5 linked regions of the Callithrix jacchus genome follow. Each later gene encodes a partner of the first gene's protein in a complex. Links are inferred from orthologs where the notes say so. Each region holds a gene or a part of one and is shown in the gene's direction. Other genes may lie near its edges.

What was found.
Region 2: the proteins of GDF5 (region 1) and RGMB are in contact, whole or in part, in a crystal structure (PDB 6Z3J), measured with the Homo sapiens proteins. The link is inferred for Callithrix jacchus from reciprocal best matches to the Homo sapiens genes GDF5 and RGMB. Residues at the interface, in NP_000548.2 of Homo sapiens: Leu396, Arg399, Phe435, Pro436, Leu437, Arg438, Ser439, Asn445, Val448, Ile449, Leu452, Ser455, Met456; in NP_001353437.1 of Homo sapiens: Gln57, Thr60, Phe63, Val64, Thr67, Ser68, Leu70, Asn71, Tyr88, Leu103, Val104, Ser107, Ala108, Leu110, Gly111, Ile112, Asp114, Leu115, Gln118.
Region 3: the proteins of GDF5 (region 1) and BMPR1A are in contact, whole or in part, in a crystal structure (PDB 3QB4), measured with the Homo sapiens proteins. The link is inferred for Callithrix jacchus from reciprocal best matches to the Homo sapiens genes GDF5 and BMPR1A. Residues at the interface, in NP_000548.2 of Homo sapiens: Arg399, Phe435, Pro436, Leu437, Ser439, His440, Glu442, Pro443, Asn445, Val448, Ile449, Leu452, Ser455, Met456, Pro458; in NP_001393490.1 of Homo sapiens: Gly65, His66, Cys67, Pro68, Ile77, Thr78, Phe83, Ile85, Glu87, Cys100, Met101, Lys102, Glu104, Gly105, Phe108, Gln109, Asp112, Ser113, Lys115, Ala116, Gln117, Arg120, Ile122.
Region 4: the proteins of GDF5 (region 1) and TWSG1 are in contact, whole or in part, in a crystal structure (PDB 8BWL), measured with the Homo sapiens proteins. The link is inferred for Callithrix jacchus from reciprocal best matches to the Homo sapiens genes GDF5 and TWSG1. Residues at the interface, in NP_000548.2 of Homo sapiens: Glu434, Phe435, Pro436, Ser439, His440, Glu442, Asn445, Val448, Ile449, Leu452, Ser455; in NP_065699.1 of Homo sapiens: Cys26, Lys28, Cys31, Ala32, Ser33, Val35, Ser36, Leu39, Ile40, Cys44, Gln45, Cys46, Arg47, Cys73, Val74.
Region 5: the proteins of GDF5 (region 1) and HJV are in contact, whole or in part, in a crystal structure (PDB 6Z3L), measured with the Homo sapiens proteins. The link is inferred for Callithrix jacchus from reciprocal best matches to the Homo sapiens genes GDF5 and HJV. Residues at the interface, in NP_000548.2 of Homo sapiens: Met412, Trp414, Trp417, Phe478, Asp480, Ser481, Lys488, Tyr490, Met493; in NP_001366281.1 of Homo sapiens: Arg95, Arg98, Gly99, Leu101, His104, Ser105, His108.

The regions. Positions count from the first base shown.
Region 1 is NC_133506.1:3,867,608-3,873,580, forward strand, and holds the start of GDF5 (growth/differentiation factor 5), read left to right. Parts: upstream 1-2,507; 5' UTR 2,508-2,810; coding exon 2,811-3,441; intron 3,442-5,973. UniProt on the Homo sapiens protein: Growth factor involved in bone and cartilage formation. During cartilage development regulates differentiation of chondrogenic tissue through two pathways.
Region 2 is NC_133503.1:111,970,334-111,976,006, reverse strand, and holds the start of RGMB (repulsive guidance molecule B), read left to right. Parts: upstream 1-2,356; 5' UTR 2,357-2,545; intron 2,546-3,517; 5' UTR 3,518-3,579; coding exon 3,580-3,584; intron 3,585-5,673. UniProt on the Homo sapiens protein: Member of the repulsive guidance molecule (RGM) family that contributes to the patterning of the developing nervous system. Acts as a bone morphogenetic protein (BMP) coreceptor that potentiates BMP signaling. Promotes neuronal adhesion.
Region 3 is NC_133513.1:42,411,484-42,416,695, forward strand, and holds part of BMPR1A (bone morphogenetic protein receptor type-1A), read left to right. Parts: intron 1-2,260; coding exon 2,261-2,453; intron 2,454-4,463; coding exon 4,464-4,761; intron 4,762-5,212. UniProt on the Homo sapiens protein: On ligand binding, forms a receptor complex consisting of two type II and two type I transmembrane serine/threonine kinases.
Region 4 is NC_133514.1:53,558,260-53,563,119, reverse strand, and holds part of TWSG1 (twisted gastrulation protein homolog 1), read left to right. Parts: intron 1-3,434; coding exon 3,435-3,616; 3' UTR 3,617-4,860. UniProt on the Homo sapiens protein: May be involved in dorsoventral axis formation. Seems to antagonize BMP signaling by forming ternary complexes with CHRD and BMPs, thereby preventing BMPs from binding to their receptors.
Region 5 is NC_133519.1:8,457,153-8,463,005, reverse strand, and holds the start of HJV (hemojuvelin), read left to right. Parts: upstream 1-2,238; 5' UTR 2,239-2,400; intron 2,401-2,641; exon of another isoform or gene 2,642-2,718; intron 2,719-3,648; 5' UTR 3,649-3,756; coding exon 3,757-3,853; intron 3,854-4,239; coding exon 4,240-4,787; intron 4,788-5,229; coding exon 5,230-5,853. UniProt on the Homo sapiens protein: Acts as a bone morphogenetic protein (BMP) coreceptor. Through enhancement of BMP signaling regulates hepcidin (HAMP) expression and regulates iron homeostasis.

The DNA.
Region 1 (5,973 bases):
AGAAATTATTATAGTTATGAGGAATTAAGCTATGATTTTAAAATATGAAAAAATACAGAGTGGAAGAAATGAACTGTGTTGGCGTCACGGGCAGAGGCAGAGACTGAATAAACTTTCAGCTGCCAAAAAATGTAAAAGGAGCACAGAAAATGTGTCATGGCAGCTCAGGGGGGTATGCATTTTCTGGGGGATGCAAGAAGGCTTCATGGAGGAGGTGGCACGTGGGTTAGCACTTGTCTGATGGGTAGCTTTTAGTAGAGGGAGAGTAGAACCAGAGAGAGCCTGGAGGCCTAGAAGCCAGTTACAGGGGAGAATTGTGTAGCAGGACAAGCAGTGAGGAGGACAGAGCAGTGATGGTGGCAATGAGGATCGGGTGTGGGAGGGATGCCAGAGAGGACTGGTGCAGTGGGAACAAGTCTATGTTTTTAAATTTTTTATTTTATCAATATTATTTATTGGCTGGGCACAGTGGTGCACACCTGTAATCCTAGCACTTTGGGAGGTCGAGGCAGGCGGATCACCTGAGGTCAGGGATTCGAGACCAGCCTGACCAACATGGTGAAACCCCATCTCTACTAAAAATACAAAATTAGCTGGGCGTGGTAGGGCACTCCTGTAGTCCCAGCTACTGGGGAGGCTGAGGCAGGAGAATCCCTTGAACCTGGGAGGCAGAGGTTGCAGTGAGCCAAGATCGTGCCATTGCACTCTAGCCTAGGCAACAAGAGTGAAACTCTGTCTCAAGAAAAAAAGTATTTATTTTGTGTGTGTGATGGACTCTAGCTCTGTCGACCAGGCTGGAGTGCAGTGGAGCGATCTCAGCTCACTGCAAACTTTGCCTCCCTGACTGGCTACCTTTTCGTATTTTTAGTAGAGAGACCTGTAATTCCAGCACTTTGCGAGGCCAAAGTGGGTGGACCACTTGAGGTCAGGAGTTCGAGACCAGGCTGGCTAATGTGGTGAAACTCGGTCTCTACTAAAAATGCAAAAATTAGATGGGCATGGTGGTGCACACCTGTAGGCCCAGCTGCTCTGGAGGCTGAGGCAGGAGAGTCATTTGAACCCAGGAGGCGGAGGTTACAGTGAGACAAGATCGCACCACTGTACTCCAGCTGGGAGACAGAGCAAGATTCCATTTCGGAAAAAAAAAAAGAAAAAAAGAAAAAAAAGAAGGAAGCCTACCTGACTATTGCTTCTCCCCTGTCATCCTTCTCACAGCATGGCCAGTGTTATTGTAATGAAATGTGCAGAGGGAGTAATTGGCTCTGTCTGGGGATCAGGAAATGTTTCCCAAAGGAGGTGAATTTTCAGCTAAACTTCTCAGGATGTGGAGTGCTTCCTCCAGTTGTGGGAGAGAGAGAGGAGGATATTTCAGGTGAAGCGAACAGCTTTCCCCACTGTGGTAAGTTGCTCAGGGGCTCTATGGCGCAGGTTCCTAAGAGCAAGGGAGCTTCCATACTTCCATGAGGCACTTTAAGAAACCCAGGAATTCAGCTGGAATTCAGACCTTCCCCAGCTACCAGAAAAGCCTTGTGTGGGAAATCGCTTTTCCAGCCTCCTGTAGGGGCCGCTGCTGCCCCAGACTCAGCCAGTCTATTCTAAAAACTATTGAGGACGTCTTTGCTGGGGTGGTGGTGGGGTGCACCCTGGACCTGCCACCATCCAAGCAGTGGCTCAAGGGTGGCAGTGCCCTCAAGCCTGAAGAATATGCACTCAGTCAATGGCATTTGGAAGTAGGGAGCGGGTATAGCTGGCACTGATATTTTTCAGTCTCTGGGTCACCACAAGTTTATTAAAATAAAAGAAACTGTGGGTAAATGCTGCCATCTGTGCTGTCCCCACTACTAATACACACAAACAGGCACACACACCCACAGACACACATAACACACACACACACACACACACACACACACACACACACACACACCTCAAGTCCCAGACTAGACGCAGGAGTTGAAACTGCTTTAAAAACCCTCTAAGGACTTAACTACAAACCCACACTCCCCATGCTTCTGGGGCTTAAGATCTTTGAGCTCATTCTTCAGCATCTCTCCTCAGGAAGGTGGGGTGGGCTGCTCCACGAGGTGGAGGTGAAGACCCCTGAGTCTGCTCCGTGGAGGGGGAGGCCCCCTAAGCCTAGAGTCCCACTGCGGGGCTCTGTGCCAAGAGCCCCCGTGAGCCATAGCCTCGAAAGGGCAGCGGTGATTTTTTTCACATAAATATATCGCACTCAAATGAGTTTAGACAGCATGACATCAGAGAGTAATTAAATTGGTTTGGGTTGGAATTCCGTTTCCAATTCCTGAGCTCAGGTTTGTAAAAGATTTTTCTGAGCACCTGCAGGCGTGTGTGTGTGTGTGTGTGTGTGTGTATGTGTGTGTGTGAAGTATTTTCACTGGAAAGGATTCAAAACTAGGGGAAAAAAACTGGAGCACACAGGCAGTATTACGCCATTCTTCCTTCTTGGAAAAATCCCTCAGCCTTATCCAAGCCTCCTTCAAGCCCTCAGTCAGTTGTGCAGGAGAAAGGGGGCGGTCGGCTTTCTCCTTTCAAGAACGAGTTATTTTCAGCTGCTGACTGGAGACGGTGCACGTCTGGATAGAGAGCGTTTCCACTATGGGACTGGATACAGACACACGCCCGGCAGACTTCAGGAGTCTCGGACTCAGGAGAAAGCCTTTCCTTCTGCCGCTACTGCTGCTGCCGCTGCTTGTGGAAGTCCACTCCTTTCATGGTTTCTCCTGCCAAAGCAGAGGCACCTTCGCTGCTGCCGCTGTTCTCTGTGGTGTCATTCAGCGGCTGGCCAGAGGATGAGACTCCCCAAAGTCCTCACTTTCTTGCTTTGGTACCTGGCTTGGCTGGACCTGGAATTCCTCTGCACTGTGTTGGGTGCCCCTGACTTGGGCCAGAGACCCCAGGGGGCCAGGCCCGGATTGGCCAAAGCAGAGGCCAAGGAGAGGCCCCCTCTGGCCCGGAACGTCTTCAGGCCAGGGGGTCACGGCTATGGTGGGGGGTCCACCAACGCCAATGCCAGGGCAAAGGGAGGCACCGGGCAGACAGGAGGCCTGACACAGCCCAAGAAGGATGAACCCAAAAAGCTGCCCCCCAAACTGGGCGGCCCTGAACCCAAGCCAGGCCACCCTTCCCAAACAAGGCAGGCTACAGCACGGACTGTGACCCCAAAAGGACAGCTTCCCGGGGGCAAGCCACCCCCAAAGGCAGGATCTGTCCCCAGCTCCTTCCTGCTGAAGAAGGCCAGGGAGCCGGGGTCCCCTCGAGAGCCTAAGGAGCCATTCCGCCCGCCCCCCGTCACACCCCACGAGTACATGCTCTCGCTGTACAGGACGCTGTCCGATGCTGACAGAAAGGGAGCCAACAGCAGCGTGAAGTTGGAGGCTGGCCTGGCCAACACCATCACCAGCTTTATTGACAAAGGGCAAGGTGAGGGGGCGGGGTGGCAGGGGCACGGCTCAGAGGGAGGGGCATCTGCATGAATGGAGGGGCTTTCAGAGCCCTGGCACAGCCCTGGTGGGAGACGCTGTGTGCATCTGGCCTGGGGTGGGTGTCTGGGGACACGGACGCATAGCGGATCCCAGGCTGCCTGCACATCAGCGCTGGAGGTCACCTAGGACTCACCAGGTCCGATGCCTGCAAGGTGCAGGGCGGGCAGTAAAGCCAGAGAGGAGACAAGACCTGCCAGTTGATGGCAGAGTTGGAGACCAGATCCCAAGACTTGATTACCCAGCTGTGCATCTGTACCTGCTGGATTGGCCCAACTTTCCAGGCTCCAGGGGTTTGGAGGTGGTCTCAGATGGCAGAGAAAGAAATGAATCTTGAGCTCCCCATGGTTCCGCAGCTTTGCCCTCAGGCAAGGGGATAAAGGAGGCGAGATAGGTGCACGGAGGCCAGATAGGTGCAGGGAGGCGAGATAGGTGCACGGAGGCGAGATAGGTGCACGCAGAAAACGGGGCATCTTGTGGTCATGGAATGACGTTTGCATACAAGGGGAGGGAGTAGCCTAGGGTCTGCCTCACAGTGTGACCTTGGGAAAGCCCCTTCTCACTTGGGGTCTCTGTTTTCCCATCTGTACACCTACGGGGGTTGGACAGGGTGGTTTCTGAGATCCCTTCCAACACAAAAACTTTAGTTCCTGTCCTGAACATGCCTCGTTCTCCTCATTAACCTGGGAGAATACCTGCTCCCCTGTCTCTCTCCACCCATTTAGTGTTACTGTCCCAGCTTTTCCTCTCCACTTGCTGTGGTATTTAAGCAAGTCCCTCCCCCTCTTAGAGCCTCAGTTTCTTTCTAGTGTGAAGAGGGAGGTGGGCTGTTGGTCGCTTAAGATGCGTGCAGCTCATTTGCTCTGGTTCCAAGTCCTAGGCTGGCAGTGTGGGGGAGGGGTCAGAGGGTGGGAGAGGCTCCTCATTAGAGCTGGCCTGGAGGGGGCTGCCAGGGGGCGGGGGAGGCACAGAGGCAGCAGGTCTGGCTGAGGTGGGGGAGGTGGCCTGGCTGTCTGCCCAGCCAGGGAAAGCTGTGACCCCTTGGGGGCTCATAAAATAAGTCCTTGTGCCCCCTAGCACTAAGGGAGCGTGGAGAGGGGGAGATGGGGAGTTTAAAGGCCTAATTAGTCACCTTCTAGAGTACTATATGAAAGTTCCCCAATGCCAAATTGGTATTTAGGAAGGACAGCATGCTGATTCGGAGATACTACTGAGCTTCTCACACACACACACACACACACACAGTCTTATGTTTATACTCTTGTGCTGAATCACACATGTACACGCATACTGAATCACACATGTATGCATGTGCACACACACCTTCTTACATACACACACAAGATCGATCATACACACTATACATCTATGTGCCCTTCAAATAGTCACACAAGCCCAATCATATATACTCTTCATACTCATACATGAACTCAATCTCACACACACACACCACTGTCACACACTCACACACTCAGGAGGGTAAGACACATAGGCAACAAAATCCTTATACTGGGAAGCCGGGAAAATTGGGGTGTATGTCAGTGTGGGCCAGCTTTATCATTAACTCGCTTTGTGACCTTAGATAAGTCACTCCCTATCTCTGTGCCTCATCTGTAAAATGACACTAAGGTCTCCTTTAAGGGAAGGTGGATACAGCTGAGAACTGGGTATAAAAAAACTCCAGGTGGTGGCTCACGCCTGTAATCCCAGCACTTTGGAAGGCTGAGGCGGGCAGATCATCTGAGGTCAGGGGTTCAAGACCAGCCTGGCCAACATGGTGAAACGCTGCCTCTGTTAAAAATACAAATAGACCATCATCATGGCAGGCGCCTGTAATCCCAGCTACTTGGGAGGCTGAAACAGGAGACTCACTTGAACCAGAGGTTGCAGTGAGCTGAGATTGTGCCACTGCACTTTAGCCTGAGCGACAGAGCAAGAATCCGTGTCAAAAAAAAAAAAAAAAAAAAGCCCTAGGCTAGAGTTCCAAGTCTGATTTTTCCTAGCTGGGTGACCTTGAGCAAGTCATCTAACTTTTCTGAACCTTGGGATTCTCCTTTGGAAAAATGCTTAATTTTTTTTGAGCTAGGGTCTCACTGTGTTGCCCAGGCCGGAGTGCAGTAGCATGTTCACAGCTCACTGTAGCCTCAACCTCCCTGGGCTCAGGCAATCCTCCCACCTCAGCCTCCTGAGTAGCTGGGACTACATGTGCTTGCCACCATGCCCAGCTAAGTTTTGTATTTTTTTGTAGAGACATGGCATCACCATGTTTTGCAGGTTGGTTTCAACTCCTGAGCTCAAGCAGTCCACCCACCTCAGTCTCCCAAAGTGCTGGGATTACAGATGTGAGCCACTGTGCCCAGTCAACGGGAGTAATTTTAATGCCCACTCCACCAGTCTCAGAAATGAGATATCACATTAGCTTGTGGGTGGGAGAGAGAGAGAGGTAGAAGGCAGTTACAAGGCTGATAACTCT
Region 2 (5,673 bases), on another chromosome or scaffold:
CTAGTCTCATTCTAACTCCTGGATTCAAGTGATCCTCCAGTCTTGGCCTGTCAAAGCACTGGGATTAGGTGTGAGTAATCATACTGAGCCTAAAATATAACTGAAAAAAAAAATGAAACCAACAGAATAAGACACGCTCACAATATTTTCCCACCACTATTATTTAAGGAAAATTTTTCCCAATGAAAAGATTCTTAAGAACTCTCTTTAATAGACAGCTTTTAAAAGGGAGCATTATATGAAAGCTAAGCCATTATTGAAATTCTATTGTTTAAATTAAAACAAGAGATTTGTAATTTAAAAGTTAGTACTTCATTATGAGATTTTACACTTTTTTGCCTTGGTTGCATAGAAAGTTCCCCAAAAACAGACAAGCTTTCCCAGAGGAAGAACTCAGGTTCAAGTTTCCAAAGTGGGTAGTGAATTTAAAATTCTGAAAAATATTATGGAACTAAGGAAAAATTAAATGTATTACTTGATGAATGCTTTTCTGTGATGATTGACAAGTTAGCATCCAGGCTCCACTGACCAATATTTATGGGAAAAGAGTGGAGGAGGCAGGGAATTCGGGCAGCTTGTGCCTGCTATTTATGTACTGTCCAGCTTAGCAGGAGAGAGAGGAAGGACTGGTGGCATTAAAAAACATCCTGTGGGCTGGCCCACTGGGCTTGCTTTGAACTCTTGTTCATCATTATTTTATGCTGCAGCTTGTCTTTGTGTTGGTGGAAGGGAAAAGAAAAACACAAGAGACTAGCCTTTAGTTTCTAAATCAAAGCTGTGCTTTGCTGACTGCTGGAGTGGCTTTTCAAAAGCAAAGGGTGTGGGGACATTAAAATTCCTTGCTCTGTGAAACAGAAGCTGAGTTGGGTTTTTTCTTCTTCTTCTTAATTCTCAGATGCAGAAGAGTATGTTTCAATATATCTTACATTTACCTTGAAACAATCTCAGTATTTTTTTTTTTTTTCAGTTTGGCACTTGGAGAAGATAAAGCAAAGTGAAAAAACACTAAGGAGGAACCTGCAGCGGGTTGGAGGAAGGGCAGTCATTATCACTGAATTTAAGAAACAGAAGAATATGTAAATTTTACTAATTATTGCCCTTTACACATCCTTTCTTGATAGTGACACGAGGGTCCAAAGACGTTAAATCAGTTGCCTAAGACCCAGACCCAGAAACTCAGGCCTAGACCCTCTTCTGTGTTTCTGTGGATTCCCATTCGCCCTCTTTACACTGCCCTATGCTGCCTCTAGCGTTAGCCCAAGAAACTATAAGGAGGGGCTGTGGGAGGAGAAGGCAAAAACTGGAGAGGGTCATAGATTCCTGCCTAAGGAGGCAAGAAACGACCTCCCTGAGTGAAGATGTTTAAGCATTTGACTTGACTAAGAGAAGCAGCCCGCTCGTTCCAAGGGTTGAACGCGCCTATTAGCTGCCGCTGAGTATCTAGGATGCTTTTTTCCCCCTCTACTTTGGAAGATTAATCTAAGGTAGAAAGTTAATCGCTTTCTTGCCCTCCACGACTTCTACACTGATCGAAGCGACCGTCCTCCCTCTAACATTTCATGGGCTCGTTCTTTGCAACACACTTGCTCTAGGTCTTAGGTGTCCCTTTAAACCCTCTCTTCCCTCTTTATTCCCAAATCTTTTATCTTTGGCTCTCTTAAGCTGTAAAGACACACTGGCACCTTAGGTGGTCAGGGAAGGTCGCTGGATTTCTTCTTTCGGTGAAAGTCCGGAGGATCGTTCCTGCCACTGTCCCCATATTTAGACACACTAGGAAGACCCTCAAGGATCATTTACGGAGAGAACGGGGTGCATTCTGCGGCTGCTGGCGGGAAGCTAGAGAATGTGGCGGGCGGGGGCAGCGCATCTGGCGCCTTGGCAGAGGTGCGGACTGGGAACAGCCCGCAAGCGTCCGCTGCCGCCTGCCCCGCGACGACGCGCACAGTCGCCCACCAGGAATCGGTCGGTGCCGCGGGTGGGCGAACGCAGCGCCGCTGGCCCGGAGGACGGCGCGGAGGGTGGCGCTGGCTGCGTGAAAGGCGTCTTTGTGCAAGACTGAGTGTGGTGGGGGGAAGGCAAAGAGAGAACTGGGCCGGGAACTGGACGCGGAGGTCTGGGGCGCCCCTACGCCCCCAGCTGTAGGCTGTGCAGGAAGGAGCCGGGTAACGCCGGCAGGGGGCAGTGTGGCGATAGAGGAGTTGCTCGGGGGTGGGGGTCTCCTTTAGCCTCTATTTGAGGCTAAAGTAGGGAGAAAGCAGCCTGGAGGAAGCTGGTGGGGATTGGGCTCCCCGCCCTCTCGCCTAGGTGGCGGAGAAATCGCGCTAGCTGGAAGGGCGCAGCTCCTCTCCGAGAGCTCATTCCGGAGTCGGAGAGCTGGGAGTGCGGCCCCCGAGGCGGAGCCTCCCTCCAGCCCCGAGTCCCGCTGCCCCCACCTGGGGGAGAGGGGCGGGCGCCGCGCTGCCTTCCCTCCGCGCCTCGGCCGCGTGGCTTGCGGCTTATTTTCCCAGCTGGCAAGCGCCGTGCTGCAGACAAGGGAATGCCTGTGGTGAGTTGTTTATTTTGCTGAAGTTTGCGGTGGGCCCGGGGGACGTGGGGGGCGAGCGGCAGGCAGCAGCCGGGACTGTTTTGTTTAGGTCTCCATCCACCTGTGTGGTATAAATCTGCCAGCCTCCGGGCGGCGGGGGGCCGGGGTGAGAAAGCCCTGACGTTCCCAAAAGCCCCTTTTCGCCACTTACAGATCTAAGACCACATTTGATTCTCCACGCCTGGAACCAGCTAGATCCTAGTTTCGCTCCCCCACCCTCCAGCCCCCCATCAACGCTTCCCGCACCCGCTGTGTGCAGGGCTGGTGCTCCGCAGAGCAATCAGCGCCCACGACCCAGGGACAGCTGGCCGCCGAAGTCCCTCCCCAGCGCCCTTTCCTGTTCTCTTGAGGACAGGGAAGCTGAGGGTTTAATGTGAAGGGCGCTCATGAAATTCGTGGGAACTTGTTCTGGCTTCTTCTGGCGTGGAGTTCTTTCAGGGGTGTCGGGTCTGCCCCGGACTACAAAATAGGATCCTGAGTTGGCTGAAGTTGCCCAGACTAGGCTGCAGAGAGGTCGGCTGTTGGCTCGCAGGAGAGCCCAGAGGAACCCCTTGAGCTGATGGCAGTCAAGACCGGCGGCTGCGTTTGCCTGCAAGAAAAGCCTAAATACATTAGCGAGCTGGTAAAGCTTTTAAGGCCTTCTTAGGAGCGAGTGGCTGGCTAATGAGAGGTTAATTTTGTTTCGAAGGGAAGGCTGCACTGGTTTCCTGAGATAAATGGACAGGAAGCGCATTACCTCCGCGCGCTGGCAAGAGGCTCCCAAATGCTTTTTGCACCTGCCGTTTTGAGCGGTGAGAGCAGGAGCCGAGCCCGCAGGGATTGCGGGGGCCCGTTGCGTACGAGTGGGTGATGAGCCCCTCACAGGCCCCAGGCTCGCTCCCTCCGGGGGTGCATTGCTCACACCAAGCTCTGGGATTCTTCTCTCACGCCCAGGTCCTGCGTGTTCCGAAGTCCGGGGGCTCCCTGATCCCTCTCCAGGAGCGGAAGGGTTAAGAATGATGTAAGTACAGGCACTTGGTTTCTCAAGTCGCCCGCTTGGCCCTCTTCCAAGTTGTACTTTCCTTCTTTTCTCTCCTTTCCTTTCCTTCCTTTCTTTCCTTACTATTCTAAAGCTTTTTAATAAACTTTCACTCCTGCTTTTTAAAAAAAAAAAATGATGTAAGTACAAACCACGAGCTGCTTGACGCTGCGCTGTCGGACTCCAAGCTATTTCAGCCGCTGCTTTGTATACATAGTAGACGGAGGAGCAGCCAGGGAGCCCTTACTCTAGAATGGATTGCACATATGGAAACCTAGGTGATCTGCTAAGCAGGCAGAGATCCTCCTGTTAGATTTCTGGAAATGGAGACATATTAACTAGAAAACAGTTAAAACATCACGTATAGGTTCAGGAAATGAAACCGCATATTGTTTAGAATCCATTAGTGTTTCTGGCATGTGTTTTAATTCTGTCCACTCCCCTGAATGTACTGTTCAGGTCTCCTCTTTCTCTTTCCTTCCTGAAAACAAAGAGGAAGGGAGAAAGTGCACCAGTGGCAAGAAACATGGTGGATGTGTGAGTTACACAAGTCATCAGTCACTTCATTCTTTTTATCTGATTAAAACATAAAACTTTTATAAGTCATTGATTTTATGTTTGTGTTTTAGCACCCTCTCCGATTTTTCTTTGTAGAATCTAAAATCCTTTGTAACTTGCAGCTCACCGGCTTGAATGGCAGTGCTATAAGCGACCATGCACTATGCTCTTGCTTTCCAAGCCGATTTCTGATCTTTCTAACAGTACCAATTTACCCGCGAGTTGTCAACTGACTTATGTCTTGAAAATAGGAATCACCATGTGGTTTAATTGTGAAAATTAGCATTTTCCTCTAGCGTCTGAACACTTATGCAGCAATAAAAAGTGAATTGTTAGGCTTATAAATCTCGAGCTTGTCAAATTTTACAATAGAGGAGCAATAAAGCACCTTAGAGACAATGAAGTTTTTCCTCAGAACAGTTGTTTCACACCACCAGTATTTGCAATGACTCGAGGACGCCCTCTATTGATAAGGAAATCTAGAGCACTCGTGTACTTACAGAACAGGATATGGGGGGAGGGGAGTGAAAAAAAAATCATATAAAGTCACAATCGGAAAGACCCAAACCAAACTGAAATTTTTGATCCTTAACTATTGGTTGTATGTTTTGTAATACGGTCAATACGGTGAGATGCTTCTTTTATAGGGCCTTGGGTTAAGAGGAAAAAAACATTTTAGTCTTTGTTAGCCAAATACTTTGAAAATCAGTATTATATTTCATTACTTTTTAAAGATACTTCTTAGTATATCATGAATTATATCTCATTAATTATATGAAGCAATTGCAAGATGGTAAATTTTTGCTCTAATAATATTTAGTCCACGGCATTATCTGAAAATGTCATGTATCTTCCTCCCCAAAAGTCATTTCTCCAGGCAACTGTGAAGCTATTATTAAGCATATTATGGATACACACAAGGCTTGGATTATATCGTGGATAGTGAAAGGTGTGTTTACCCCTTGAGTCATCATAGTATGTAATAAGTAAGTAATGAAAAGTTACAGTAAAAACAGATAGGCATCCTTGATTAGGGATCTAGTGGTTTGAGCAATTCACAGTGTGTCTGAGTGAGCTGGTGAGACAGGAGGTTTGCCCCTCAATTATCCTAGTCCATTGATTAGTACATTTAAACATGTATGGAATATCAACATGTCCGTGGTTGATATGAAATTCCTAATTAAATTAGAGATTCTGAGTAATGTAGCGGGTAGAGTTGCCAGCAACGATTTGGGTGTTAGTGGATTTTAAATGGCAGCCGTGCTGTTTGGGGAACAGCTAAGGCCTAGGGCAGTATCAAGTGTCTCTCAGCCTTGAGGTCATTCTTGAGATTAGATATCACTTCACACCTACTGATAACAAATTGGACTCTCATCAATCTCACAACTGCTTTTGTCTCCACTTGGCAGCCTCTTTCTGTGCAGACAATTGTCTTTTTCTTCACTTTTGGACCCATCCGATCATAAAAGGAGAAAGTGACCTGACATTGAATTAATCTGTAGAAATTTATGGA
Region 3 (5,212 bases), on another chromosome or scaffold:
ACATTCATACAGTGAAATACTACTCATCAGTAAAAAGGAACAACTCCCAACACATGTAGCAGCAGCAGTGGGTGTATTTCAAAAGAATTTTATGCTACATGAAAGAAGCCAGACACAAAAGGCTACACAAAAGTGATTCTCCTGCCTTCGCCTCACGAGTAGCTGGGATTACAGGCGTGTGCCACCACGCCTGGCTTATTTTCGTAATTTTTTAGTAGAGACGGGGTTTTGCCATGTTGGCCAGGCTGCTTTCAAACTCCTGGCCTCAGGTGATCCACCCACCTTGGCCTCTCAAAGTGCTGAGATTACAGGCGTGAGCTACCGCACCTCGCCAAAAAGTGAGAATTTTTTTATATGATTAAAATGTTCTGTATTTTATTTGTGGTGTTGGTGATTACATGATATAGATTTGTTGTACTAAGGCTTGTACTTTTCTCAAAAAGTGTACATTTTATATAAATTATACCTAATAATCTTGACTTAAAAAAAAAACTTACAGGCCGAGGCGGGTAGATCACTTGAGGTCAGGAGTGTGAGACCAGCCTGGTCATATGGTGAAACCCCATCTCTACTAAAAATACAAAAATAAGCCAGGCTTGGTGGCATATGCCTGTAATCCCAGCTGCTCGGGAGGCTGAGGCAGGAAATCACTTGAACCTGGGAGGCAGAGGTTACTGTGAGCTGAGATTGTGCCTCTGCACTTCAGCCTGGGCAGCAGAGCGAGACTCTTTCTCAAAAGGATTCTATAATAAATGATACATGAAGTCAGTTTAGGTTTGCACAAAATTTAGTTTATTTTAGAAGCATTTCCAACTTGGAATATAGCGTTCTTTTTAATTTAGAATGATCACTAATGCTTCCGAAAATGAAAGATAACAGTCCGTGTACATCTTGTAGTTAACAAATATTAAAGTACTTCTGATATTGTCCCAAATAAATACCTATATTCTGTGAGCAGGGGATGGAATTCAAGCAAATACATATGTAAATAAGAATAAAGTTATGATCGTGTTAAGTGGAGCAACTGAGAGGTTGTGTGTGCTTTGAAGGTATTTAAGTGAGAAAATAGCACTCTAAATAGGAACTGGACATTCAAAAAGACACGGAGACAGGAATAAGCTTGAGTGAATTCTGAAAGTTGAGATAAGTCAAACAAGAGGTTTACGGGTAGGTGGTCACAGGAAATAATAGGGACAGGCCAGATCATGTGGAGTCTTAGAAATGGAATTTTTAAGTTCTTTTTTTTAATTTTATTTTTATAAAGACAGGGTTTCACCATGTTGGTCAGGCTGGTCTTGAACTCCCGACCTCAGATGATCCGCCTGCCTTTGCCTCCAAAGTGCTTGGATTACAGGTGTGAGCCACTACGCCCGGCCGAATTTTTAAGATCTTTTAACCGTCATTTGGACTTGCTGCATAACAAACTACCCCAAACTTAGTGCCTTGAAGCAACAAAAATTATTTCTCATGAGTCTGTGAGTCTGCAGGGGAGTCCACTTGTTAGATTTGTTCAGCTAGAGCTAGGTGGTACAGTTTACATGCATGGCCAGCAGTTCATGCTGCCATTATTCATTGGTCACGGTTCCCAAAGCAGCAGGAAAGTGCAAGCTCCAGTGCACAAACATTTGTCAGGTCTTTTCTTGCATCACGTTTGCTATTCTATTATCCAAAGCAAGTTATGTGGCCTAAGCTCTGAGTCTGTGGGCCAAGACTACCCATGGCTGTATGCAGTGGGAGGGGAAGGGAATTATTATCACCATTTTTGCAGCCAGCCACATTGAATAACCTGTTTATAATATCACAGTACATTGTTTCATGCTTTAAAGTACATTATGGCCAGGCACAGTGGCTCATGCCTGTAATCCCAGCACTTTAGGAGGCCGAGGTGGGCAGATCACCTGAGGTCATGAGTTCAAGACCAGCCTGGCCAACATGGCAAAACCCCATCTCTACTAAAAATACAAAAAAAGTTAGCCACGCATGGTGGTGGGTTCCTGTAATCCCAGCTACTTGGGAGGCTGAGGCAGAAGAATCAATTGAACCCAGAAGGTGAAGGTTGCAGTGAGCCAAGATTGCGCCACTACACTCCAGACTGGGTGGTAGAGTAAGACTCCATGTAAAAAAAAAAAAAGTACCTTCTAAGTTTTTAATTGGAGTTGGTTGGGTACACCGTGCTTTTTGATGAGATGAACTACCCCATTGCCAGTCTTAAAGGGTTTCGTTCATCAAGAGCTCAAACATGTTACTTTTCTCTTTAAAGGTTCAGCGAACTATTGCCAAACAGATTCAGATGGTCCGGCAAGTTGGTAAAGGCCGATATGGAGAGGTATGGATGGGTAAATGGCGTGGCGAAAAAGTGGCTGTCAAAGTATTTTTTACCACTGAAGAAGCCAGCTGGTTTCGAGAAACAGAAATCTACCAAACTGTGCTAATGCGCCATGAAAACATACTTGGTAGGTACACACTGATTCAGTCAATTTCATGTTTGACAAGGCTAGTGGGATGCAGGTGGAAGCCTCCATATGTGCTTTGAAAACATGTGTGAGCTCAGCTATATACATTTGGCTAAAGGAAGCCCGACAGAATACACGATTTAAATACAACACAGTCCGGAATTCCAACCAAGCACTTTCTTTACTAACCAGCTGAAGAAAGAGCAGTGAGTTTCAAATGGAAAATAATACTAGTTTATTGGATTACTCCCATAGTAATGAAAACCCAGTCTTTTATAGATAATTTAAGCAGTGGTCTAGGGTAACATTAACATATATGCCTTTTGCCTTTCGTAACCTCAACAGCCCAACATGCTGCTTCGTTGTATGTTCTGTGTTTAATGTGTGTTCCCCCCACCAGCCTCCGTATTTACACAGTAGCAAAGTAATGTAGGTATGAGCTGATTGGTCAGATGCATAAACCGATCTGGCTATCCTGAGTTTTCTTTTCCCTTCGTCTCCTGTTTTCCTACCTTTAATTTGGAGAGTGCATAGCACATTGCCAAGCAGGCAACTGTATTAGTTTCCTAGAGCTGCTCTATCAATTAACCACACACTGGGTGGTTTCAGCAACCAAAACTCACAGTTTTCGAGGCTAGAAGTTTAAAACCAAGGTGTTGGCAGAGCCATTCTGTCTCTGAGGACTCTAGGGTGGAAACTTCCTTGCCTCTTCTGGCTACCAGTGGTTGCCAGGAATTTTTGGTGTTCCTTGGCTGATTATAGACAATACTCCAGTCTCCATTTCTGTCATCAGGTGGCCTTCCCTGGGTGCCTGGGTCCATATTTCCACCTTATAACATCACCAGCCACTGAATTCGGGCTCACCCTTATTCTGTATGGGTCATCTTAACTTGATTACATCTGCAAAGACCCTCTTTCCAAATAAGGTTATATTTATAGGTAACATGGATTTTAGACATGAATTTTGTTGGGGAGCACTATTCAGCTCAGCTCAGGGCATAGCACTAACTGACCTTTTTCTGGAGGGAAGAGGGTAGGAGAGAAAGGAAAAGAGAGCAGGACCGTGGACCTGGCAGTCAATGAGCCAGACTGAAAAGGCAGCTGCGATGAGTCACTGATGGGCAAATGGGAATTGGCTTAATTAGGAGCTAACTCTTGGTTGAACATTCTTAACTTTATTTAAGTGTCCACTTTTTGCTTTGAAATTGAGAGCCTTTTCCACTAGAGAATCATGTAGATTGATGATATTTTCCAGGTTATTTGTATATGTGATTTTTTTTTTTTTTTTTTTTTTGAGATCGAGTCTTGCGCTGTTGCCCAGGATGGAGTGCAATGGCTCTGTCTCAGCTCACTGTAACCTTCTCCTCCGGGGTTCAAGTGATTCTCCTGCCTCAGCCTCCTGAGTAGTTGGGACTTCAGGCACATGCCATCACACCCAGCTAATTTTTTTTTTTTTTTTTTTTTTTTTTTTGAGATGGAGTTTTGCTCTTGTTACCCAGGCTGGAGTGCAATGGTGCGATCTCTGCTCACTGCAGCCTCCGCCTCCTGGGTTCAGGCAATTCTCCTGCCTCAGCCTCCTGAGTAGCTGGGATTATAGGCATGCGCCACCATGCCCAGCTAATTTTTTGTATTTTTAGTAGAGACGGGGTTTCACCATGTTGGCCAGGCTGGTCTTGAACTCCTGACCTCAAGTGATCTCCCTGCCTCAGTCTCCCAAAGTGCTGCGATTACAGGCATGAACCACCATGCCCAGAATATGTGATCTTTTTCTAGTCATATTATCATTTTCATGATTATTAAGATTTATAAATTTATTATAGAAGTACAATTATATGTGTAAATTGTAGAAATAAAATTTTTTAGTGACATATTTATGACTTGATGTCAGGCAAATTAAAGTTTCATTATCTGCACATGATACCTAAGTAGTTCTCAGTATCCAGAATGAGCATTACTTTTCCCTGGCCATCTCTGATGTTAACTAACCTTTTAAACTCATCAACTGGACAGGTTTCATAGCAGCAGACATTAAAGGTACAGGTTCCTGGACTCAGCTCTATTTGATTACTGATTACCATGAAAATGGGTCTCTCTATGACTTCCTGAAATGTGCTACACTGGACACCAGAGCCCTGCTCAAATTGGCTTATTCAGCTGCTTGTGGTCTGTGCCACCTGCACACAGAAATTTATGGTACCCAAGGAAAGCCTGCAATTGCTCATCGAGACCTGAAGAGCAAAAACATCCTCATCAAGAAAAATGGGAGTTGCTGTATTGCTGACCTGGGCCTTGCTGTTAAATTCAACAGGTGAGTGGTTCTTTGCCCTACTGTTTCGAAAGTATTTTGATCTCCAAAAGACATTTCCCTATTTGTATTCAAGATAATGGAATTCTAAAAATGTACACATGCTCATTTTTAGTTACATAAATATATAGTTGGGGGTTTGTTCTTTCTACAAAAAATTGCATTCTCCTAATCCTATACATAATTCTTGATATCTTTTTGTTTGTTTGCTTTTTGAGACGGTGTCTCATGCAGTTGCCCAGGCTGGAATGCAGTATAGTGATCATAACTCATTGCAACCTCAATTGCAACCTCAACCTCATGGGTTTAAGGAATCCTCCCACCTCAGCTTCCCGAGTAGCTAGAACTACAGGCATGCGCTATCACACTCATCTAATGTTTTTATTTTTTGCAGAGATGGGGTCTCGCTGTGTTGCCCAGGTTGATCTCAAACTCCTAGGCTCACCAGTCCTCC
Region 4 (4,860 bases), on another chromosome or scaffold:
TCTGATCCCTGAGTAGATAAAGAGGCATGTTGGCTGGGCGTGGTGGCTCACATCTGTAATCCTAGCACTTTAGGAGACTGAGGCGGGTGGATTCACGAGGTCAAGAGTTCGAGATCAGCCTGACCAACATGGAGAAATCCCATCTCTACTAAAAATACAAAAATTAGCCAGGCATGGTGGCGCATGCTTGTAATCCCAGCTACTTGGGAGGCTGAGGCAGGAAAATTGCTTGAACCCAAGAAGCAGAGGTTGCAGTGAGTTGAGATTACACCACTGCACTCCAGCCTGGGTGACAGAGCAAGATTCCATCTCAGAGAGAAAAAAAAGATAAAGAGGCATGTCAGCATATTGTCAAAATTCCTCTATACTCCTGGCAACAGAGGCTGGAAAATAGATCATTGTTCCTAATTCTGGTATTTATTTGTGTTAGGCTTTATTCCCTTCATAAGATAGCAACAGTGCTGCTTCTCTAATAGGGTATTGCTTGTCATCAGGTAACATTCAGAGTATCCCATGAGATCAGATTTTTATAATAGCACCAGCACCAAAATAATGCCAAAGTCATTAGCTAAATTTCTTTATAAGCAAGTTGGTATTCCAGACATCTTATTTGCAGGCATAAACTAACCCCAGCCAGTTCTCTGCAAATGGGTACTGTTGATCAGAAGAGGAATTAAATGAGAAAATAACATACAAATTACAGAAGCATATTTAAGAGCATTTATTAGTGAGGATAGGGCATATAATAATTTTAGAATGTAAAGAGCATGTGACTTTTATAAAGTCTGATATTTTTTGACAAAAGGCACCAAATAATTTTGTGACTTTTATAAAGTCTGATATTTTTTGACAAAAGGCATCATGGAAGCATAAAGCACTTATAAACGTTGCAATTATTTCTTAAACTATGAGGTGAATTATATATAAATAGTATAATTTGTACTCTTACTTGACTATTAGTTGTGCCTTCCATTATATTCCTACCTTTATAAAACAGTGTGAACTTAGGACATTAATAATAAAAGCAGAATAGCTTCTGTTAAATTGCAGTGTAAGAATTCTTACTTCCTTTTAGGTTAAAGTATTTTAAAACAAATGCTAGATTTTGGAAAACATTAGAAGCATATGGAATGCAATAATAATATGTTTTGCTATCATTATCTCCATTATTAAAATATAAATAACATAATCGATATTAAATAAAAATTCATAAATTTTTCTTAAAGATTGTTTAACTTTATGAAACAATTAGCAAGAAGCTAATTCCTGGAAACTCCAGCTGTCTTTAAGACACAACTACAGTTTTTTTTCTGTGACATCTTTCCTGGGCACCTCTTCCCTCAGATATAGTTAACCTCTTCATATTGCTGCTCCTGCATTTGCAGGTTTTTTTTTTTGACATAGAGTTCACTCTTATTGCCCAGGCTGGAGGACAGTGGCGTGATATCGGCTCACTGCACCCTCCACCTCCCTGCCTCAGCCTTCCTAGTAGCTGGGGTAATGGGCGCCCACCACCATGCCCAGCTAATTTTCTGTATTTTTAGTAGAGACAGGGTTTCGCCATGTTGGCCAGGCTGGTTGCGAACTGCTGGCTTCAGGTGATCCACCTGCCTCGGCCTCCCAAAGTGTTGGAATTACACAGGCTTGAGCCACCACGCCCAGCCTGCATTTGCAGTTCTATTTATTGTCTGTTTTTAACTTACAGATCTATCATTTTCTACTTAGTTCTGCGTATTCTCTGATTACTCTTTGAGTTCATAATGGATATCCCATAGTAGATATCAAGTAGTTGTTGAATAAATAAATGAATTGAATTTCTTATGTACTGATCACTTGGAGATACTCATGCTTCCACCTCCCACTTACTGCCAGCCCTCTAGTCTGCGTGACATGGTGCTGCGATGCCCCTGCTCCAGTTTCCTCTTCAATCAGGTCCCATCCAATGGTGGTTCCATCATCTCTTGATATCAACCACCCATTATAGTTGGGCTGCCTCCACTCTGTGGGTATAGTATGCATACTATACCCATCTCCATATGACTTTTATTTTGTTACTTAGTAGCTCTGTTTTTCATTCTTTCTAATGCAAATCCAGTTTATTCCATTAAGCCTTCCTTTACTATTCAGACTCCTGGTGCTTTATTAGTTCCATAATAGCTTTGAAAAAATAATTTAGCCTTTGATCATATACGCTCTGTTAATGGTATTTATTATCCTTTATTTATTTCATGTACCCTGTCCTCCTAACTAGTCATACAGAGTTAACCACCAGGAGAACTAAAAATTGAAGTAATCAAAAGTGGTTGTCTTACTGGAAAGCAGACTAGGAATTGCTATTAAGAAGAAGTTTTCTTTGAGACAGTCTCACTCTGTTGCCCAGGCTAGAGTGCAGTGGCACGATCTTGGCTCACTGTAGCCTCTGTCTCCAGGTTCCAGTGATTCTCCTGCCTCAGCCTCCTGAGTAGCTGGAATTACAGGTGTGCACTGCCATGCCTGGCTAATTTTTATGTTTTTAGTAGAGATGGGGTTTCTCCTTGTTGGCCAGGTTGGTCTCAAACTCCTGACCTCAAGTGATCCACCCATCTCAGCCTCCCAAAGTACGGGGATTACAGTTGTGAGCCACCGAGCCCAGCCTAAGAAGAAGATTTTTAAATAGCTGGTACTTATTTGTGCCAAGGATTGCTAATCACTTTGCATCATTTGAATTGTTTAAGTTTATTTTATGTTATTGTAAATTCTCAGTATAACTTTAGAACAGCATTTTTCACATTTCTTTTGGCTTGCAAATTCTCTTTTTATAGAAAATCTTATCAGAAATGTCCAGTTTAGGGCAGACGTGGTGGCCCATGCCTGTAATCCCAACACTTCGGGAGACGAAGGCAGGTGGATCACAGAGGCAGGCTGGAGTTCGAGACCAGCCTGGCCAACATGGCAAAACCCCATCTCTACTAAAAATACAAAAATTGTCTGGGTGTGGTGGCACACATCTGTAGTCCCAGCTACTCAGGAGGCTGAGGCAGAGAATTGCTTGAACTTGGGAGGCAGAGGCTGCAGAGAACCAAGATCATACCACTGCACTCCAGGCTGGGCGACAGAGCAAGACTCCATCTTAAATAAATAAATAAAGCTCAATTTAAAAACACAACTGTATAACGTAGCGCATATTTTTTAAGCCCAGTAATCTAACCTTTAGATCAAAGCCTGAAATCTAATAAAAGAAGCTAAGGAAGCCCTTTGCCTTCTTCAGATGGAGTAGGAGAATATGACTTCCTTCTCAACATAATTAATAAATGAAGATCTTTTTTCCTGTATCTCACCTTTGTCATGTGCAGACCAACAATAACTAAGATAAATAACTGTTAATATTCAGCAAGGTATTAAAGCATTTTTTTTTCTTCTTTCTTGCCCTGAAATCTTAAATTTTTGTTTTTCAGAACACATGTGTACTGTGGTTTATTTTGATGACTGCATGTCCATACATCAGTGTAAAATATCCTGCGAGTCCATGGGAGCATCCAAATATCGCTGGTTTCATAATGCCTGCTGTGAGTGCATTGGTCCAGAATGTATTGACTATGGTAGTAAAACTGTCAAATGTATGAACTGCATGTTTTAAAGAACAAAGAGAAATGCAAACCAAAGCAACTTAGTAAAATAAAAGGTATAAAGTTATTCAGTAAGTCTGTTGTTTGCATTAGAATACCAGTAAGTTAAGATATAAAAACTTTGAAATAAGTTTATTTTGAAATATGACATAGCCAGTGATGTGTTTAATTATATTACTGTTCTTACTGATTTTATTGCCCCTAGCAAGAAGCCCTTTCCTTTGAATACATGTACAACTTTGGTCACATGAGAAGCAGGTGCACAGAGAATTCCTTGAAAGATCTAGGGTTCTTAACATGAAGCCTGATGTGGTTTTCTTGTAGCATTCCAAAGGTTTTTGCTTTGAAAGTGTTCGCAGAAGTATGTTGATGTGAGTTATGATTTCTTCATGTGCTACTCTTAGGATACTGAATTTTTATAGTTGCACTTCATTCCTCACTGTTCCTTGTATTATCGGTTTTTATATAAATAGAGTAGATATTCGATATACCACTCTGATAACTCACATAAAAAACTCAATTTCAGCCCTTTTATGTTGATTTTAAAAGGTAAATGCTTGCCATATTTTATAATTACAAACTCTTACATAGTAGAATCCTTTCGATAATAGATGCAATGACAAAGCTTTAAGGAAAGTTTCCCATTCTCTTCCATTTCCCCTGCCCAAAGTGCTAACATAGGCAGTGATGAAGAATTTTTACCAAGATTTTTAGGGTACACCTATGAAATTGCATTAAATGCACTACTAAGGTAAATAATTAGCAAGCAAAAGCATTTCTGTGACTTAAGGTACCAGCTTAAAGAGCACTAGGTTAGGGAACAAATGCCAAATCAGACTCCACTTAGAGCACCGGGAAATAGCTTGTATCCTGGTAGGGAAATGGTATAGCTGAATCGGGAGGCTGAGCCGGAAGCAAGATTAAGCTTGTGCAGCCTTAGCCAAGACAGAGCAGGGTTTTCCAGCAGATGAGTGGTGGGACAGGAACTGAAGAGAATTTAGTGGTATGAACAGGACAGGTTGAAAATGCTGGGAATTATAATAGGAAACAAACTTAAAACTATCTACATTCATATTTTGTAATCTTTCATTTGTTTAGTTTATATCTGGATGTAATGTTCTCTTTAAACAAGTATAATCACATTGTGGGAGGTAAGATTATGAAATTTTGAAATCTCTGTTCAAGATGATGTTCACTCCAAATACACTACAGAATATTTAGTCAACATTTTATATAATGTTTCAATAAATGCTTT
Region 5 (5,853 bases), on another chromosome or scaffold:
ATCCTTTGTTTTATCTCATGATATATCTAAAATAATCTCAGAATAACATCACCAACACTATCACCATAATATGACTATTTTAAAATATTCTGCATTTTTTTGGCATTATAGTACATCCAACTTGTGCTGTCGTAATCAAATTCTTATGTTTTACAGTCACCTGAATGGTTTGGTTAAAAGCATTTTACATTTCTGTAATGAAACTGCTTGTGATATGGCCTCTAATGGTTGAGAGAAAAAAATGTTTTTGTCATATATATATACCTGAGAATAGTGCTATGTGGGCCTCTAGACTCTTTCTGTATTAAAATAGAGCCAACTGGTAAAGATGCCTTAGTGACTGTGACAGTTGATACTGAGTGTCAACTTGATGGGATTGGAGGATACACAGTATTGATTCTGAGTGTGTCCATGAGGGCGTTGCCAAGAGATTAACATTTGAGTCAGTGGGTAGGAAAGGCAGATACACCCTTAATCTGGGTGAGCACAATATAAGATGCTGCCAGCGCAGCTAGAATAAAAAGCAGGCAGAAAAATGAAAGGAGAGACTGGCCTGGCCTCCCAGCCTACATCTTGCTCCCGTGCTGTCCACTTCTTGCCCTCTAACATCAGACTCCATGTCTTTCTGTTTTGAGACTGAGACTGGCTCTCCTTGCTCCTCAAGCTTGCAGACAGCCTACTGGGGACCTCGAGATCATGTAAATTAATACTTAATAAACTCCCCTTTATATATGTCTATATCTATCTAGATATAGATAGATATAGACATCTATAGCAAACTATCTAGATAGATAGATGATTGATTGATTGATAGATAGATAGATAGATAGATAGATTAGATAGATGATAGAGATACAGAGATGGAGATAGAGATAGAGAGAGATCCTATTAGTTCTGTCCCTCGACTGAACCCTAATACAGTGACACTATTTGGAATTGGTCCTTTTTACATTCCATTTGGCAAGTACTAAAAGATTGATGATCTCAGATATGCCTATGGCTGCAAAAACATGACATGGCCAAATCCCTTGGTTGCAATATCTTTTTTTTTTTTTTTTGCTTATTTTTTTTTTAAGGCAGGAGGCCTCACTCTGTTGCCCAGGCTGGAATGCAGTGGTGCTACCATAGCTCACTGCAGCCTCAAACTCTTGGGCTCAAGCGACTCTCCTGCCTCAGCCTCCCAAAGTGTTGGGATTTTGCAGTATTTTAAAGTCACAAGATTATGTTATTCCACAAAAGTATGTTTCAGAGACTAGGCATGGTGGTTTACACGTGTAATCCCATCACTCTGGGAGGCCAAGACGGAAGGATTGATTGAGGCCAGGAGTTCAAGACCAGGCTGGTCAACATAGTGAGACAGACAGACACCATAGAAAGAGAGGAAGGAAGGAAAGAAGGAAGGGAGGAAGGGAGGGATAGAAGGAGGGAGGGAGGGAAACAGAAAGAAAATCTTTTTGAATCTTTTTCTGTTTCTCCAACTCTTTCTCCCCTTCTAAAAATTCTCTTTCCATTTTTTCTTCACCTCTTTGCCTTTGTTAGCCTTCTCTCCTAGCAACTCAGGAGCTTTTATTTCTGTGTGTATTGATGAGGGAGAGGGAAGAGGAATTGCTGTACAAACGGAAGTAATGAAAATGGAGTAGGTAGGAGGATAGACAGCTGCAACGATCTGAGCTAGATAGACTGAACAAGCCCTCATCCTAAGCAACTCACAGCTCCGATTTCTTCTCTGGACAGCTGGTTCTTTTTGTCCTCCTGAAATACTCTGCAAAGAAAGGGGAGAGGCTGTGAACTACCTCTGCTATGGATCTTATTTAAAGTCAGCTACCTCCTAGATACTATCTGTAGAAACTAAATGTAATATTCATCATATCAGGGATGAAGATGGTAAATGAAAGGTATCCATTTGCCCACTGTAATTTTTAAAGGCCAGGAGCTCATCATTATTGAGAATGCTGGAGGGCGGCCTGGAGTAGGCAGTGACTAGAGTCACACAAGCTGGAACCAGATATCCAACTTGTCTGTCATATTTTTCTCTTCCCTCCCCAGCTTGGCACCCAATACTCCATATTCCTTCTAATTCTCCTACCCTCCCCGCTCCCACACCCTACCCCCACCGACGTTCCTGGAATTTTGGACTTAGCTATTTTTAAAACCGGCAACTCAGTAGCCACCTCCCACCCTGCTCAGCTGTCCAGCACTCTGGCCAGCCATATAGTCCCCCTTCCCCCAACACCAAACCTTCTCTGGCTCCCTGACCTCAGTGAGACAGCAGCCGGCCTGGGGGACCTGGGGGAGACATGGAGAAAGAGACAGAGGATCCCCTGGCTGGAGCTGACCCACAGAGTAGGCAATCACGGCTGGAGAACTGGATAGCAGAGTAATGTTTGACCTCTAGAAACAGTAAGTCAAAATGAAATTGCAATTCCTTTAATAAGCTTTTATAGTGAAGTTAGACTGTTATAAAATTACAAACACCTACTCGGATGTCTCCTGTCCAAATGCTGGGATCTCTTCCTACCAAGGTGCCCAATCACCATTTCTCCTTCTGTCTCATTTCTTTCTGGCCTCTGGCCTCTAGCCATTTGAAGTGTAATTCTCTGTCTCTCCTCCGGCAGTCTTAGCCCTCTCTTTTGCTTATTACCTGAAGACTTCTGATGAAGTTTTAGGAGTTCCCCACACCCTCGATCCTGTAGTTTTCTTACCAGGGCCAAGAATGACCTCGGATGATGAGTCACTGACACACTTCTATCCTGTCCCCACTTAGCAATGCCCTTTGCATTGAGATTCCAAGGGTGGGGGCTGCTCCTTGTAAATGATTTCTCCCCACACTCTAGTCCCTCCATTCTATTCTCCCTCTTGCAGGACTCTCCCCTGAATCATATCCTAATGCACAGGACGGGGGAGTTAGGCAGGAGGGATTTAGCTCCTCCCTAACCCCTGTTCTCATGAAAAGACCCAGAACTTCAGAAGTTGAAAAGGAGAGATTAATAGAGAGGTTCTTCAGTGAAATTTGGGAAAATACAAGAACGGTTGACTTAGAAAAAACAAATATTAATTTGCATGTTTGCTTTGCATCCCATTATTCCATGAGGGGGGGATTAAAATTCCTGTGCTCTAGAGCTGATGAAAGAGATTGGTTCCTTTTCATTTGAATATTGACATTCTGGAGGGAATGGGTATGCCACCCTCACTCCTTCTTGTGTCCTTCTGACACAAAGAAGAAAAAGAAATGTATGGCTCCTGGAAGGCATCTCCTCCTAACGGAGAAGGACAAATAAGAAGTATATTTCTGAAGTATTTTCAGGTCCTGATTCGATTAGCGTACCCACTGGGATTACTGGCGTCCTATCTATCCCCATGATTCCTCCGTCTTTGACATAGCTGCTGTTTGGTATCTCAGGATGGAGCAACACAGTGGACTCTGCCCCCCTGAGTTCACCCAACCTTCCCTCCACCCCCGCCTGAGGCTGTTGCACAAGGGCCCTAAAAGTGGCCACAGGAACAGGGCAAAGAGGCTTAGCTGCCACACTTACAGTGTGAGGAGCCCCAATCTCCCAAATTCCAGTCTGCTCATCCTTTCTTTATCTCCCCAGATTCACCTCACATTGTCCTGACCAATCTTCAACTCTTCTCTCTCTCCATGTCCAGCCAAATTTCTTTTTTCAGTCACTTACAGGACTTCCGGTCAAAATTCACTAGGTAGGAGGGTCATCAGCTGGGAAGAACCGGGCGCCCGGGGAACCTGGCTGGATAGTTATGGGGGAGCCAGGCCAGTCCCCTAGTGCCGGGTCCCCACATGGCAGTCCCCCAGCTCTAAGCACTCTCACTCTCCTGCTGCTCCTCTGTGGACACGGTAAGGAAGGGCCAGGGAAGGGTTTGGGGAAATCTAGAGGGTAGGCTGCTATGTAGGGGTGGGCATGTGAGCATGAGTGAGTGAGGAGACGCGGGCGCTGAGAGTCCGATCACTCACCCTGCTCTCAAATAGGTATATTTTATGTCCCATTCAGTTTGGGGAAGGGCACTGGGGAAGCCCTTGGTCGACAGGCAGAAGAGATTCCCTTTTATTCCTACACATTTTTAGTAAGACAGCCGAGAGAACTAGGGATTTGGGGTTTGGGGGCTGGGGAAGGCCCTTAGTTGGGTTTTAGGAAGGCTGGAATTCCCTGATGAGATTTGGAAGAGTTATGATAGAGCAGAGGTCTGAGGACGGTCTCACAATCCTCTCCCTTCTGTCTTTAGCTCACTCTCAATGCAAGATCCTCCGCTGCAATGCTGAGTATGTATCGTCCACTCTGAGCCTTAGAGGTGGGGGTGCATCAGGAGGAGGAGGAGGAGGCCGGGGTGGAGGGGCGGCCTCTGGCGGCCTCTGTCGAGCCCTCCGCTCCTACGCGCTCTGCACGCGGCGCACCGCCCGCACCTGCCGCGGGGACCTCGCCTTCCACTCGGCGGTCCACGGCATCGAAGACCTGATGATCCAGCACAACTGCTCGCGCCAGGGCCCTACAGCCCCTCCCCCGCCCCGGGGCCCCGCCCTTCCAGGCGCCGGCTCCGGCCTCCCTGCCCCGGACCCCTGTGACTACGAAGGCCGGTTTTCCCGGCTGCATGGCCGTCCCCCGGGGTTCCTGCATTGTGCTTCCTTCGGGGACCCCCATGTGCGCAGCTTCCACCACCACTTTCACACATGCCGTGTCCAAGGAGCTTGGCCTCTACTGGATAACGACTTCCTCTTTGTCCAAGCCACCAGCTCCCCCGTGGCGCTGGGGGCCAACGCCACCGCCATCCGGAAGGTCAGGCACTCAATCTCCCTTCTGATCCACCTCCTGAGATTCTTCGAGGGGCACCACTTCCTCCCCATCCCCACTATTCCACAGCAGTGCTCCCTAGTTCCCTTTTCTTCCTCAACCACTCCCCCATCTTGAATCATTCCCTTCTACCAAATACTTGGAGCTGTAAATCATTTCCCCTTGATGGGAATTTCACTCAAATGCAGAAAACAGCTGGAGAGCGCATCGGAAGGGAAACTTTACCCTCTCCTAGGAAGTTGCCCAGATTAAGTAGAGAGAGAAGTTAAGTCGGGATGAGGCAATACTGGAACGTAAATAGGAGAAGGGATCAAGGACTGGGCCACAGTAGTCCTCACCTCTACCTGGATCAGACCCCTTACTGTGTGAGGTCTGACTGGGGGAGGATGCACTGAACCAAGTGAACCGTTTTCCCTCTTGCCCTCAGCTCACCATCATATTCAAGAACATGCAGGAATGCATTGATCAGAAGGTCTACCAGGCAGAGGTGGATAATCTTCCTGCAGCCTTTGAAGACGGTTCTGTCAATGGAGGTGACCGACCTGGGGGATCCAGTTTGTCGATTCAAACTGCTAACCCTGGGAACCACGTGGAGATCCAAGCTGCCTATATCGGCACAACTATAATCATTCGGCAGACAGCTGGGCAGCTCTCCTTCTCCATCAAGGTAGCAGAGGATGTGGCCAGGGCCTTCTCAGCTGAGCAGGACCTGCAGCTCTGTGTTGACGGGTGCCCTCCAAGTCAGCGACTCTCTCGATCAGAGCGCAATCGTCGGGGAGCTCTAACCATTGACACTGCCAGACGGCTGTGCAAGGAAGGGCTTCCAGTGGAAGACGCGTACTTCCATTCCTGTGTCTTTGATGTTTTAGTTTCTGGGGATCCCAGCTTTACCGTGGCAGCTCAGGCAGCGCTGGAGGACGCCCGAGCCTTCCTGCCAGACTTAGAGAAGCTGCATCTCTTCCCCTCAGATGCTGGGGTTCCGCTTTCCTCAGCCACCCTCCTACCCCCGCTCCTTTCCGGGCTCCTTGTTCTGTGGCTTTGCATTCAATAA